Linked DNA regions of Macaca mulatta. The main gene of each other region encodes a partner of the protein of the gene in region 3 in a complex. Links are inferred from orthologs where the notes say so. Each region holds a gene or a part of one and is shown on either strand. Other genes may lie near its edges. The genes, in order: ORMDL3, SPTSSA and SPTLC1.

Region 1 (4,487 bases), on a different chromosome or scaffold from region 3:
CTGATGTGGGACATCCACTCTTAAGCCCTTCCCATCAGGAGGGAAAGAAGTGAGGCCTGTGGGTACAGGCAGCAGTGGACGAACTATTTTGAGGTCACTGCATCCACTCACCTCCTCTAATTTTTTCAATTCTGGATCTCCCCAAACCCCAACTTAGGAGGACTGATCAGGTACAAAGAGGGAAGTGGGGAGGGAGGAAGATAGAAGAAAACAACAGACTAGCGACAACCTTTGCCCGGACCTGGAAGGCACCCCTCCTGGGTGACACAAAATAACCCATCTGGATGTCTTCTCCATTTGGCAGCCACTCAGGCCAACCCTTGTGCTGCCACCCACTCCGCTGCCAAACCACCAGGGTCCTTTTCCCCACAAGAGAGGCGAGGATAGAGAATGTGGCCAACACCTATAACTCCCACAGAGCGCTGGAACCCACATCAACATATGTCTCCCAAGGGCACAGACTCGAACCTGTGGTCTTCCTCCTGGCCCCGTTCTTCTCTGTCCTGCCCATCCTCACCTCAGCCTCCCCTCTCAGCACCTGTTTCCAGGTGTACATTAGCACCATGCCTTCCCCTGCCCAGCACCAACGGTGGGAGTCCTGCAGCAGGAGGAGCCAGGAGGTGGCCGCAACCCACAGTGAGCAGAGGGAAGTAGAGAAGGAAGGGGTGGAATGATCTGCCCCTTGTCCAGAGCTTGGCTGTCCCCAGATCCCTGAGGGCCCTGTGACCAGGAGAAAGCGGAGACGGACGGCACCTGTGTACTGGCTCACCTCCCTATCTGAGGTAGGGTCCTGCTTGCTAAAGACCATAAGATCATCACCATGTTAACAGCCCCATCTTTCCTGGGAATGCAGAGAAGACTCCCAGATAGAGATATTCTAGAAGTACCCGGAAGGCCACCTGCCTCACGCCCCTGCAGCAACCCCCTCAGACCCACATGCTATCTACTTCTGACTAGGAACTAGCCAAACCTGCACAGGAGCCTGAATCCTCAGGGGCCAGTTCTTTACTTCCAGGATAAGAGGAGCAAGTTTCCTCTTCTCAGACAGCTCCAAGCTTAGAGACCTCAGGGCAAACGTGACCCACAACACACCATCCCAACAAGCAAACACCTGTGCGCCAGCCTGGGGCGCACTCTGATTGCAGTGATGCTCCTGGGACCCATCAGTGCAGCCCATGAGGCTGGATAATGGAGCCTAACAGAAATCCTAGCATCTAGAAAGCCAGAGCTGGCTCCCACTGTTTATCTTCCCAGGGCCTTGGGGCTTCAGCTACTCTAGCAGCCCCTGGGACAGCTACTACGCAAAAGCCTCCACCTGAGACGAGAGGGTGGCATGTGGCTGAGAAGTGAGGGCTCTGAAGGACTTACCTCTAAGGAGAGGGAAACAGCGTCCCAAGTCTGACCTGAAACCGCCACCCCATCACCTCTCTGTAACCCGCACCTACAGAGGTGCTGGTGTAGAAAGCCCACTAACCCTTCCTAGTAGTTGTCCAAGAGTGCCAAAAGCCTCGTGGAATCCCAGACCACAGGACCCCATACCCCTTTCTGGCTTTCACAGGGCAGCCAACAAAACTCGATGAGCCTAGGAAAAGACTAGACCTAGGTCCCAGCCGACACCCCCGAAAGCTTCTTCCTGAAGCCTAAACACTAGGTACCCTGAGAGCAGGAAACCACCAGACACCCCTGAAAAAGAAGAGATCAATAAACTAACAAAAAGACTGGCAGCCAGGAAACACTCTTGAGACTTTCGTGTGACTACGGGCACATATCACTTCCATTAGTAAACCAACCAACCGACCCCTCCCCTAGATGGGGAGAAACAGAGAGAAGAGGCTGGCACAGGTCGACTAGGTCTACAGGAGCTGAGCTAAAAACTTCTGCTGCCACAGCTGGCAGGTGGCTGCTTAGTGCCGGGCCCTGATGTGGTTTCATAACCTGCCTCAAACCAGAGCCTGCAGCAACTCTGTTCTGTTAACCACTTTTTTGCTGGTAGCTCTTTCCCCCTTCTTCCCTCCCCACCCGCTTGGCTCCACGCACAAATATTCGGGCCCAGCCAGTATGCCAGACACTCAAGCCAAGGCTGAGCACCACCAGGGCAGCCACCAGGTGAGCCCTTCCCATTCCCTCCCCCAGGAAAGAGCAGCCCTCACAACAGCAAACCCCCTGTCTTGGAAGAGGAGCACAAAACATCCGGGCCTGGATGGGGACCCCAAAGGGGAGTCCGCGGGAGCACGTCACGATGCCACTTCCATTCCGCCCACCCCCCAAGCTGCAGGACCACAGCTGATCACATCTCAACTTTGGCCCAGCCACCCCGACTGGGGGAGGGCGGTGGGAGCGGAAAGCGAGTGCCCAGGCGAACCCGCAGTAAGCAGAGGAGAGGAGGAGCGAAGAGGCGGAGTCCTCACTGTTGTTGGGGTTTTCTGAGTGAGACCTCGGGCGCGGGGCCGGGGGGAGGGGTCCCGCTCTGTTGCCCAGTCTGGGTCCTGGCACTCGGAACCCGGCCAGGTCCGGGACCCCACAGCCATCTCCACGCGTTCACCCAGCCCTGGAAGCAGCCAAACGTTTATCCCAGAAGCCCAGCCGCTCCCCGCCTCCCACCCCTAGCCGAGGCGCTCCTCCCGACGTTCCACCCCCAGCCTCCAGCTCGCACTTTATTCCTTGGCCACCTCCCCAGCCGCAGCACCCCCTCGGCTGATGCACTCCCTCCACCCCCCACTCCCTCTGCCCCCGTCTATCCAGCCCGGGGCGCCTCCCCAGCAGCTCCTACCTTCCCTCCCGCCCCTCCCCTAGCCCTGGGGCCTCCTGGTTCCGTCTGGGCTCACCGTGCGGGGCCGGATATCGAGGGCCCGGGAACGGTTCCCGGGAGCGGGGTCCGCTGCTGCTCCAGCAGCTGTAACAACCCGCGGCGGCAGCCTCCCCGCTGGCAGCTCCGGCCGAATCAGCGCTCCGCGCCGGCCCCCGCGACGTCACCGCCCCGCGCCGGCACGCCCGACGCCTCCTGGGAGTTGTAGTTTCCTCTGCTGGTTCCTGGCCGGCCCGCCCGACGCTCCTGGGAGTTGTAGTTTTTCCTGGGCTCCGTTCCCGGACTCTCCGGGGACGCGCTGTTGGAAGTTGCACCGTGACGTGGTCAGATCGGATGATAGAATTTTGGTGCGTAACAATTCCAACTTTTGCTCCTGTGCCCTTCAAGTGTATTTTATCTGTGCCCCAGTTTTGCAGATGAGGAGACTCGGACTTGTAAGTAACTTGCTGTAGGTCTTTGCTGGGTCCCAGACTGGATCGAAACCCAGATATTCTGACCCCAAGTACAGGGTTTTTCCACTGCACCTGGCTGCCTCCGCCCCGGCCCCAGATTGGCTCCTCCAGAAACAGACTAGCCTGGCCCTTTGCCCTGCTGGGCCCTCCTGGGAGCGAGTTTTTCACAACATTGGCTGGGGTGAGGGTCTGGAGGGCCCAGAACGGAGCCTGCCTTCTCCTTCTCAGTCACTCTTGGCCCAGGCTGCCGCGGACCGGGCCACTTCCTTGGCCTCCCTGCACCTGACGTGAGAAGAAGCCACGTATCATAGATTCCTTGATCAGTAGTAAGGAGCCTGAGTTTCTGTCTCAGGTCAGCTTTTGTGGCTTTGAATGAGAGGTTCTGGTCTACAGTTTTCACATCTGCATCGTCTAAAGGCAAGGGCACAGACTTTACTGCCTGGTAGACATAGGGCAGGCCCTCCTTTATTGGCAATGTGACCTTGGGCAAATTACTTGTCTTAATCTCCAATTCCACACCTGTGAAACCCCACCTCCAATGTTGTGGGAACCCAAAAAAATGTATGTAAAGCACCTGTTGCATTGTATGAATCTACTTAATATTACTTTAGGAGGTTGCTCTTGAGGTCTCCTCGGTGACTCCCATTCTCCATGTCACCAAGAGGCCTTGTCTGAGTAGTTTCAACTCCCTACCCAGCTTCTTTCTAAGTCCACTCTGTGCAGGGCAGGGCTGGAATATCAAGATCAGATGATGTCATGGCATGCCAACCTGACTCTGAATGGCAGTTCATGGCACCCTGAACTGAAAGTGAGGGAACATGAAGGAAAAGGCTAGCCCAGGGAAACTGGGGAGCACTTCACTCGGACTCCACCTACCCTTCCTTCCCCAGGGAGCTGCCAGGAAACAGTTGTCACACAGCTGGAGTGGGACCCCCAGAGACACTTGGTGGTCACCAGGCAGGTGGGTATTTGAACCACCCAGAGCAGAACAGGCAGCTTCTTGAATATTTCCAGGGCCAATGGCCCCAAAAGGGCTCATCCCAAGATCGAAATAATCACCCGAGTCTGAAATAGCTCTGCCTGTGTCCTATGGAAGTTTCTCCTGGTTTGTGGAGGTGCCTTTCCTTATAGGCATCTTTCTGCAGACATAAGCAAACCCAGTGTTGTTCTTTTCACAGAAACCTCCCCCGCATTAAGGCAAGAAAGGTGCCTGTTTTTTCCGAAGTGAG
Region 2 (4,232 bases), on a different chromosome or scaffold from region 3:
CCACCACACTCCAGCCTGGGCGACAGAGACTCCATCTCAAAAAAAAAGAAAAAGAAAAAAAAAAGAAAATTAATCTGGCCAGGCATGGTGGCTCATGCCTGTAATCCCAGCATTTTGGCAGGCTGTGGCGGGCAGATCACCTGAGGTTAGGAGTTCAAGACCAGCCTGGCCAATGTGGTGAAACCCCATCTCTACTAAAAATACAAAAATTAGCCGGGCGTGGCGGCAGGCACCTGTAATCCTGGCTATTCTGAAGGCTGAGGCAGGAGAATCACTTGAACCTGGGAGGCGGAGGTTGCAGTGCGCTGAGATCGTGCCATTGCACTCCAGCCTGGGCAACAAGAGCAAAACTCCATCACACACACACACACACACACACACAGAGAGACAGACAGAGAGAGAGAGAGAGAGAGAGAGAGAGAGAGAGAGAGAGAGAGAGAGAGAGAAGAAATCAATCTAAAGTCTTACTCTGTTCAGGACTTCTAACTCAGACAGACACCAATTTTCAGACCGGCAGAGGCAAATTTCTCTAAATTTTAGGTTTCTAGGATTGATGATTAAGTTGAATGTAATGTTTAAGCTGTAGAAAGTATGCCTCTTTCCTTTAACATCATGTAGCTGGCCACAAATAGTTCTGGGTGAAGCTTACTAATCGTTAATGGATTTATGAAATTCAAAGTACTTGACAGTAAGCCTCCTGACAAGTTGGGGGAAAAAAAATCCAGCTTTCTTATTCAGTTCTTCCGTCAAGCTAAAACGAGGATTCAATCTCAAATTGATGTTCCAAACTACCAGATAGTTTTAAATGATTCTAGAAGTTGAAGTGGAAAAATATAAATATAACAGCTGATAGTAATTCAAGACTGGCTTATGTCAAATAATTGCATTTCTAACCCCAATAACATGAAATTTGAAATAAGACTTTTTTTAATCTCAAGTTTAAAATCATAAGGTTCTATAATACTGGATGTCAGTTGGTTGCAGGTGTCACCTATTTGAAAAAAAAATTTGAAACTACTTGGTTGCTAAACCAATGGTAACTCAAAACCATTAAAGGCAAATATCTACTAAGGCACTGAATTTCATTTCATAATTTATTTCTCCATACCCCAAAAAAGCCATCACCTAGTTCTTTATAGGATACTATCACTATTGCAACATAACAGAAAAATCTTAACATCATTGATAACTGTAGCATTTTAGTGTGTAAAATCTATATTAGATTTTAGGTGTAAAAGCTTTTAGGTGTAAAATCTATACTATATTCTAATAGTGCACTCTACATTCAATCTCTGATTTAAAGAGCTTCAATGTAACCCAGCATTGTTTAATTTTAGGATGTGTTATGTGAGTCAAGATACGCTTGCTTCTACAGAGAGACTTCTATTAAATATACATTTAAGTATGTATTTTACAAGGCATGGCCCTGTGAGCCCTAAAGAGTGAGACTAAAGTGCAGCTACAAATAAATGGTGCAGGAAATCAAAGCAAACTATCTTCAGTGTCTAAATCCAAAATATGCATTCTGGTTCTTAAATTCCTAATAAATAAACTGCTTTGAAAGCATCTCAAATTCTTCAAAAGTGCTGAAACAAAAGACTCAGCTTTGAGTACAACCTTAAGCTATTTCAAAACAAACACACTTGATAAGGCTTGGAATGAAATTACCTCAGTCACTCACTGGAATGCAACAATGCATTCGCAAAGTTGTTCTGAAGTAAGCTACTCCAACTAAACCACACTGAAAAGGAGAGAACGTGGATAAACTAAACATGTTTTGCGAAATATCTGTTTCGTATTGGCCTGAGTTTGTAAAAAGTTGCATCTCATTCATTATCAGTATTCAATCTGCAAGAATATCATCAAAGGATGTCAATATGGACAAGTAGAGACAAGAAACATCAGACTTTCAGGGAGCCTATCTTCACAATCCTGAGTTATTAATTGAAGTTCTCAAAGTTAGATGAGTTAAGATACAGAAAATGTGCTTTGCACAAATGCTTTGCTTATAGTAACCACTCAACAGTCATTAATAATTTACTAACTATCCACCACAACAGTTTCAAACCCTACCGACAACTAACCGCAAATTGCACCACTTTTCAGGCCGACTTCTACGGACGGTGCAAAGAAGCAATATACTTTTAAAACTCCCCACCTTGAAGACCAAAAAGATACAATAACTTAAACTGCTGTCAAAAACTACTGGAGTGTCATGCCTACAAATTCAGAATCTGGCTTAAAAGCTGGTTAACTGGTTAGAATTCTTGGTAGACCCAAAGCCAACTACATCAGGAACACTTAAAGGTCAACGGCGTCCAAGCCGGGAGCGATGTACTCCACTGTTACATGATCCCCGCCTCCTACAGGAACAGGGGACTGAACCAAAGGCAGGCGCGGCCGAAGTGCAGGCGACACACTGGGTTACACATCACCCTCGGAGATTTTCTCCAGGAATCAAGACGCTTCCTCCTTGGGTCCAGCGACTCACGGGTGACTCCGGATCTCAAGAGTTCTCGCCTCCCCCACCTCCCACTTAACCCCGCAAGCCCGGCCCTAGGCCCCCAGACCTCCCCCTGCCCCCCGACTCCTCGGCTTCCGCGCACAGGACCCGCGGGGCCGCCGCTCCAACCTCCACCCCAGGCCCCGGGCCTGGGAGCTGCGGCCCCGCGGCCCGCGCCCCCAACACGGCCCCCGCGCCCGCGACCCGGACAGGATACTGAACACCGTCCGCTCCCAGGGCTCCAGCATGTAGAGCGCCGTGACCAGCAGGTACTGGTAGTAGAACCAGGACATCTGCTTCCAGGCCCGCGCCAGCGCCATCCCCGCCATGCGCCTCCCGCGATGCAGCTCACACGTAAGTCTGTCCGGCCGGCCGCCCGCTCACGTCCTAAAGCCCCCGGCAGCCAGGCCCGCCCGCCCGCCACCCAGCGCCCATTGGCCCGCCCGGCCCCGCCGTCACCCGCGGCACGCCCAGCCCGGCGCGCGCCCAGGCCGCCGTCCCCGAGCCCCGCCCGACCCGCGCTCATTGGCCAGGCCGCTACCTCGCGTCCCGTCGTCCCCTCCCGCTTCCCTGCCCGGGCATCGCCCACGCGAGCCGGAGAACGGTCCCCGCGAGAGCGCCCGGCCGCGCCCCGCCCCGCCTGGGCCGGCCGGTGGTGGGCGGGGCGTCAGTGCCGGCCGGGGGCCCCCAGCCCAGCGGGCGCCGGGTCCATCCAGACTGGCCCAGAGCGGTTGCGGAATAAATATTTCTGGAACACTTGTTATGCCTCAGGCATCCTTCTGAGGAGGGGGATTGCCAGGGAGAACCGAAATGCCTTCGGTTCCTTACCTCGTGCAGCTGGCGGCCTAGCTGGGAGACAGGCATTAATCAAGTCGTGATCGGTGTAAGAGGAGAATAAGGGACTGAGAGAGGGTGAGGAGGTGAACGCCATCTAATAAGGAGGTCTGGAAAGGCGTCCCTGTAGAAGGGATGCACATTCGGCCTCCTTCCTCCCTTCCCCCGCCCATGCACACACACAAAAACACACCCATCTAGACAGGCATAACCCATGCACTCCCTAACCCAAAGACCACTTACCAAAAGTATCTATCTGCCCACCTCTTAGTGGCTGTAGTTAACCACCAAGTGGGTCAAGGCCAGAAGCGCGCTGATCTAGTGGGTTCTGCAGATGACAGGCAGTTTGAGATTGGTGTGAGGGCTGGAGATACCTCCTAGAAATGCACTCCTGGATGCCCGGATTTTCCCACTGCCAAATGGGTCAGCAACATTGCACTGGCCACCAGGAGCTCCATACACTGGTGTAGCATGTGAAATGCCACAATTAAATGGTCTGCTGTTTAAATGTTAAAAGTCTTCCAGGTTAAACAGCCTATTGCTTAAACTTTAAAAGTTTCACGGTTAATAACTATTTATTTAAAAGTATCAAGTGCCGGCCAAGCGCAGTGGCTCATGACTGTAATCCAAGCACTTTGGGAGGCTGAGGCTGGCGGATCTCTTGAGTACAGGAGGTCGAGACCAGCCTGAGCAACATGGTGAAACTCCATCTCTACAAAAAAAAAAAAAAAGTTAGCCAGGGGTAGTGGCCTGCACCTGTAGTCCCAGCTACTCACGAGGTTGAGGCGGGAGGATTGTTCGAGCACAGGAGGTCGAGGTTGCAGTGAGCCAGGATGGCACCACTGCACTCCATCTTAGGTGACAGAGCAAAAGAAAGGAAGGAAAGAAAGGAAAG
Region 3 (3,727 bases):
GGCTGGTCTCGAACTCCTGACCTCTGGTGATCCACCTGCCTCAGCCTCCCAAAGGGCTGAGATTACAGTCATGAGCCACCACACCTGGCTGAAAGCAATTTTTTAATACTCTGAGAATATATGACCTTAAAAAAAAAAAAAGATACTTCATGTATGTGTTTAACATGGTCAGAATTTACACAGGAAATGGGTTTTGAAAGTGTATTGCTTAGTTTCTACATTAGTAAAGAACTAACCTAGGAGGTTCCCTCACATTCCACATCCTCAAGATTCCATGATTCAGACCTGTAGGCTGCTTTATTGAGAGATCTAGCATGATGTATTATATTTAAGGGAAGGAGATGCTAATTAATAATGTTCCAAGGGTGATTGGAAGGCCAGGTCAGATGAGTTTCCAGAATTCACATTATTGTAACATGCAGTAGTCATTCTGTAAAGGTTTGTCGAGTCCTAAACTGGGAAGATTCAGTTGTGCTACCTAGTGCTTTTTGTTGTTATTTCATTCTGAGGGAAAAACAAATCATTTTAGGTGAAACAAACTAAATGAAAGGATCTAAAATGTTTAGCCCAGTTTCAAATAGACATGTATCACATTTGTGTCCTAGGAGGTAGGTCAAAACTCAAATAATATTTGTTATCATAGGATAAAATAGACTTTAAGTGAACCTGACTGGATATTAATAATGTGGCATAGCATCTCCTGACAGCTATAATACAAATACAGGATTTAATTTAATTTAATTTAAAAATACAGGATTTGGCCCCTAAAGATCTGTCTTTGAGAAGCTACAGATTTTTGTGCTGTTAATCCTAAGTGAAAACAAAATAATTTTAATCCAAGTAAAATCTAAAACATAACATGCAAATAAGGACATTTTTCTATCTAAACATATTGCTATTAGTCAAAATATAATGTATGTTTGGTTTTTGTTGGGGTTTTTTTTTTTTTTTTTTTTTTTGAGACAGGGTTTTACTCTGTCACCCAAGCTGGAGTATAATGGCACAATCTCAGCTCACTGCAACCTTGACCTCCTGAGTTCAAGCGATCCTCCCACCTGAGCTTCCCAAGTAGCTGGGACTACAGGTGCAAGCCACTACACCTGGCCCATTTTTGTATTTTCGTTTTTGTTTTGTTTGTAGAGATGGGGCATAATGTTGTTAATGTTAGAAATCATCCCTGTAATTAATGAGAAACAAAATAAAAACTAAAGACATAGATAATAAGGAAGCATAACATAAACTGTAGTGAGTAGCTTGTGAAGGATCCAGACAGGATGAAAAATAGCAAATGATGGAGCAGAGCCTTCCCTAAAGTGGGTGATGAAGAAGGCCCCAGCAGCAGGCAGTGCTGGAGCTGGGCCCCAGCATGTGCAGCCAGCACAGGGAAGAACAAACATCAGGGGCGAGGGAGCCCATGGCAAGGGAATGACAGACCAAGCTGGGGCCCAGAGGGCCTATAAGGAGGGGCGCCCAGGCGGGAGTACGGTGCACAGACTCCCTGTTGGGAGGCTGGGGCCATGAGACCCAGTCCTGCACTCAGGAAGCCACATCACAGGCAAACTTTTTTAGAGGAGGAAGCACCGCCAGGGTGCCTCGCTTCGCTTTCTTTGTTGGAATTGGAATAATGCTTCCCGTCAGTCGCAAGCTTCTGTACATTCACTGTGCCTTGACATTGTGGACTTCTAACATTATTTCTCCGTGAGTGATCTTGGAGCCTGGAAGGAACTTATGGCTGTGTGTGTGTTTCCTTTCTTCAGGATTTCTGGATTAAAAGTGGTGGGGGAGTCCCTTTCTCCAGCCTTTCACCTGCAACTGGAAGAGAGCACTGGGTCTCGCGAGCAAGATGTCAGACTGCTTCAGGAAATTGTAGATCAAGTAAGTATCCATTTACTTGAGGAAATCCCCCCACACCACTTCTGCCCTTGCCCCAAGCAATTTTTTAATGTTATTTTTTAAGAAAAGTCTGTTGACCTGAGAGAAGAGAGTAGAAAGGAAGATGCTGGTGACCCACTCTGGACATGGAATCTTAATCCTCCAGGTCCTTCCTAGCTTCTGGCCATGGTAACGGGCAGCAGGCCCTCCCATTGGGTCAGTATGTGGCTCCCTCCAAAGTTATTCTGTTTTGTACCACTTTGCATTTAAATATACTTGGCCTCTCCTCTGAAAAATTAGCCTTGCAGAAAACTCACTTGCTCACCGTTTTACAAAGCCAGGCTTTCCTATGTGTAGTTGGGGGAGGCATTGTGTGTGGGCATCGCACACATTCCTGGACTGCTGACTGTCCCCACAGCACAGCTCAGGGACAGTCCACTCGCAGTCACCCTGAAGTTAGGATGCTCTTGTATCTTCCAAAAGTTATTTCACTACTAATTGTCTAAGAAACACATCACCAGGGAAACCACTTGCCCATTTTCATCTGGCAGCACTGCCCCTCCAGAGTGCTTCCTGCCCTGGGCACACGGGTTTACAGTGGTGCAGGGACAACAGAAGTTTCTTTAAAAGGGGGAGGAAGAACAGCGGAGTAACCTAAGCAGGAAGGACTCAGGAGGGGCAGTGGAATGCCACCCACCCTGCTCCCCTCTTCCAAGTCCTGGGATGCTGGACATCTGCTTTCAGAAGGATCTGGACTTTTATGTGGGCTGCTGCTGCTGCTGCTTTTAGAAAAGTCTGACATATACCTAGTATGTATTTGAGAATGCAAATGGGCATGATTCTGCTTCCCTGTCCAGAGGCTGTAGCTATGAGCGATGCTACCAGGTTTCTGGGGTCATAATGGCAGTTACCACCTATCATGTGCCTTTCTGAGGCCAGGCCCTGTCCTAAGCCTCATCTGCCTATACAGCTTCTCAGGCAGGCTCTTCTAGGCCACGTGGCTGTGCAGTATACAGACCGGGCGTGCGGGCAGCCTCTGCTGCCTACCTGGCTTCAGCTGTCCTGTGTCCCAAATGTTTGAGCCACATAATCTGGAATAACAGATTTGTGGAGAACTTCATAAAATTTGTGGCCTTCTAGAGTCAGTTACATTAACAAAAACATAAAACAAGCCCCAGGATCTGAGCTTCTAAAGAAACGTGTCAGATTATGAATGATCAGGCTGGAGCTGCTTATCTTGTGAGGTGAGGAAATGCAGCTGCTGTCCCCTCAGGAATACCTCTGTGGACATGAAGACTCTCTCGACAGGGAAAACATCCCACTGCCTGCTTTACTACCTCATTGTTTGTGACGTTCCTTAAATACATACAAACACAAAACTAAGCATGACGTGTTTGTGATTAGAGTTCTCATACAAATGGAAAACCAAAACAAATGTATAAATTAAATACATACTAAATGGACAAGCCAGTAAAATTCCCATTCATTTCGTTACCTTCATGAGGCAGGTGAATTTGTTGTTTTCAATAGACTTGCCCCAGCGGGACAGCTGAGAGCTGTGTTCGCAGAGCAGGCTCATGAGCTGCACACGCCAGTGTTGGGTCTGAGTGATGGCTCCGCCGTTCTCACTGAGTCTCTTCTCGAACTGCATCGGGACAGTTGTCCACACATGCTTCATGATGAGGGACAGTCGCCTCCTTCAGATGCCAGTGTATTCATTGCATAGTAAATCCACCTGTGTTCTCTTTTCATTAGATAGCAACAGCTAAAGTCTTATTACTGCTTTGTACCAAAGAGAGACGCAGAGGAGAACGTGTGAATGAAGCAACTCGGTGTTAAAATACTGTGCTTACAA

The links.
Region 1: the proteins of SPTLC1 (region 3) and ORMDL3 are in contact, whole or in part, in a cryo-EM structure (PDB 7K0N), measured with the Homo sapiens proteins. The link is inferred for Macaca mulatta from reciprocal best matches to the Homo sapiens genes SPTLC1 and ORMDL3. Residues at the interface, in NP_006406.1 of Homo sapiens: Ala16, Leu17, Ala20, Pro21, Tyr23, His24, Leu27, Glu28, Leu31, Ile32, Trp34, Ile35, Leu38, Leu39, Ser41, Lys42, Thr43, Tyr44, Lys45, Leu46, Gln47; in NP_001307730.1 of Homo sapiens: Gly92, Val93, Gln94, Phe95, Thr96, Ala97, Lys100, Thr103, Ile104, Ile107, Tyr110, Phe111, Ser114, Tyr119, Gln121, Phe124, Thr128, Leu131, Met132, Leu139, Pro140, His143.
Region 2: SPTLC1 (region 3) and SPTSSA share a complex: the UniProt entries of both Homo sapiens proteins name them as parts of the serine palmitoyltransferase (SPT) complex. The link is inferred for Macaca mulatta from reciprocal best matches to the Homo sapiens genes SPTLC1 and SPTSSA.

Annotation. Positions count from the first base shown.
Region 1 is NC_133421.1:64,277,724-64,282,210, forward strand, and holds the start of ORMDL3 (ORM1-like protein 3), read right to left. Parts: upstream 2,953-4,487; 5' UTR 2,826-2,952; intron 2,574-2,825; exon of another isoform or gene 2,410-2,573; coding exon of another isoform or gene 2,409-2,409; intron 2,331-2,408; exon of another isoform or gene 971-2,330; intron 721-970; exon of another isoform or gene 518-720; intron 163-517; exon of another isoform or gene 112-162; intron 1-111. UniProt on the Homo sapiens protein: Plays an essential role in the homeostatic regulation of sphingolipid de novo biosynthesis by modulating the activity of the serine palmitoyltransferase (SPT) in response to ceramide levels.
Region 2 is NC_133412.1:107,570,809-107,575,040, forward strand, and holds the start of SPTSSA (serine palmitoyltransferase small subunit A), read right to left. Parts: upstream 2,981-4,232; 5' UTR 2,833-2,980; coding exon 2,721-2,832; intron 1-2,720. UniProt on the Homo sapiens protein: Component of the serine palmitoyltransferase multisubunit enzyme (SPT) that catalyzes the initial and rate-limiting step in sphingolipid biosynthesis by condensing L-serine and activated acyl-CoA (most commonly palmitoyl-CoA) to form long-chain bases.
Region 3 is NC_133420.1:122,659,403-122,663,129, reverse strand, and holds part of SPTLC1 (serine palmitoyltransferase 1), read left to right. Parts: intron 1-1,757; coding exon 1,758-1,875; intron 1,876-3,727. UniProt on the Homo sapiens protein: Component of the serine palmitoyltransferase multisubunit enzyme (SPT) that catalyzes the initial and rate-limiting step in sphingolipid biosynthesis by condensing L-serine and activated acyl-CoA (most commonly palmitoyl-CoA) to form long-chain bases.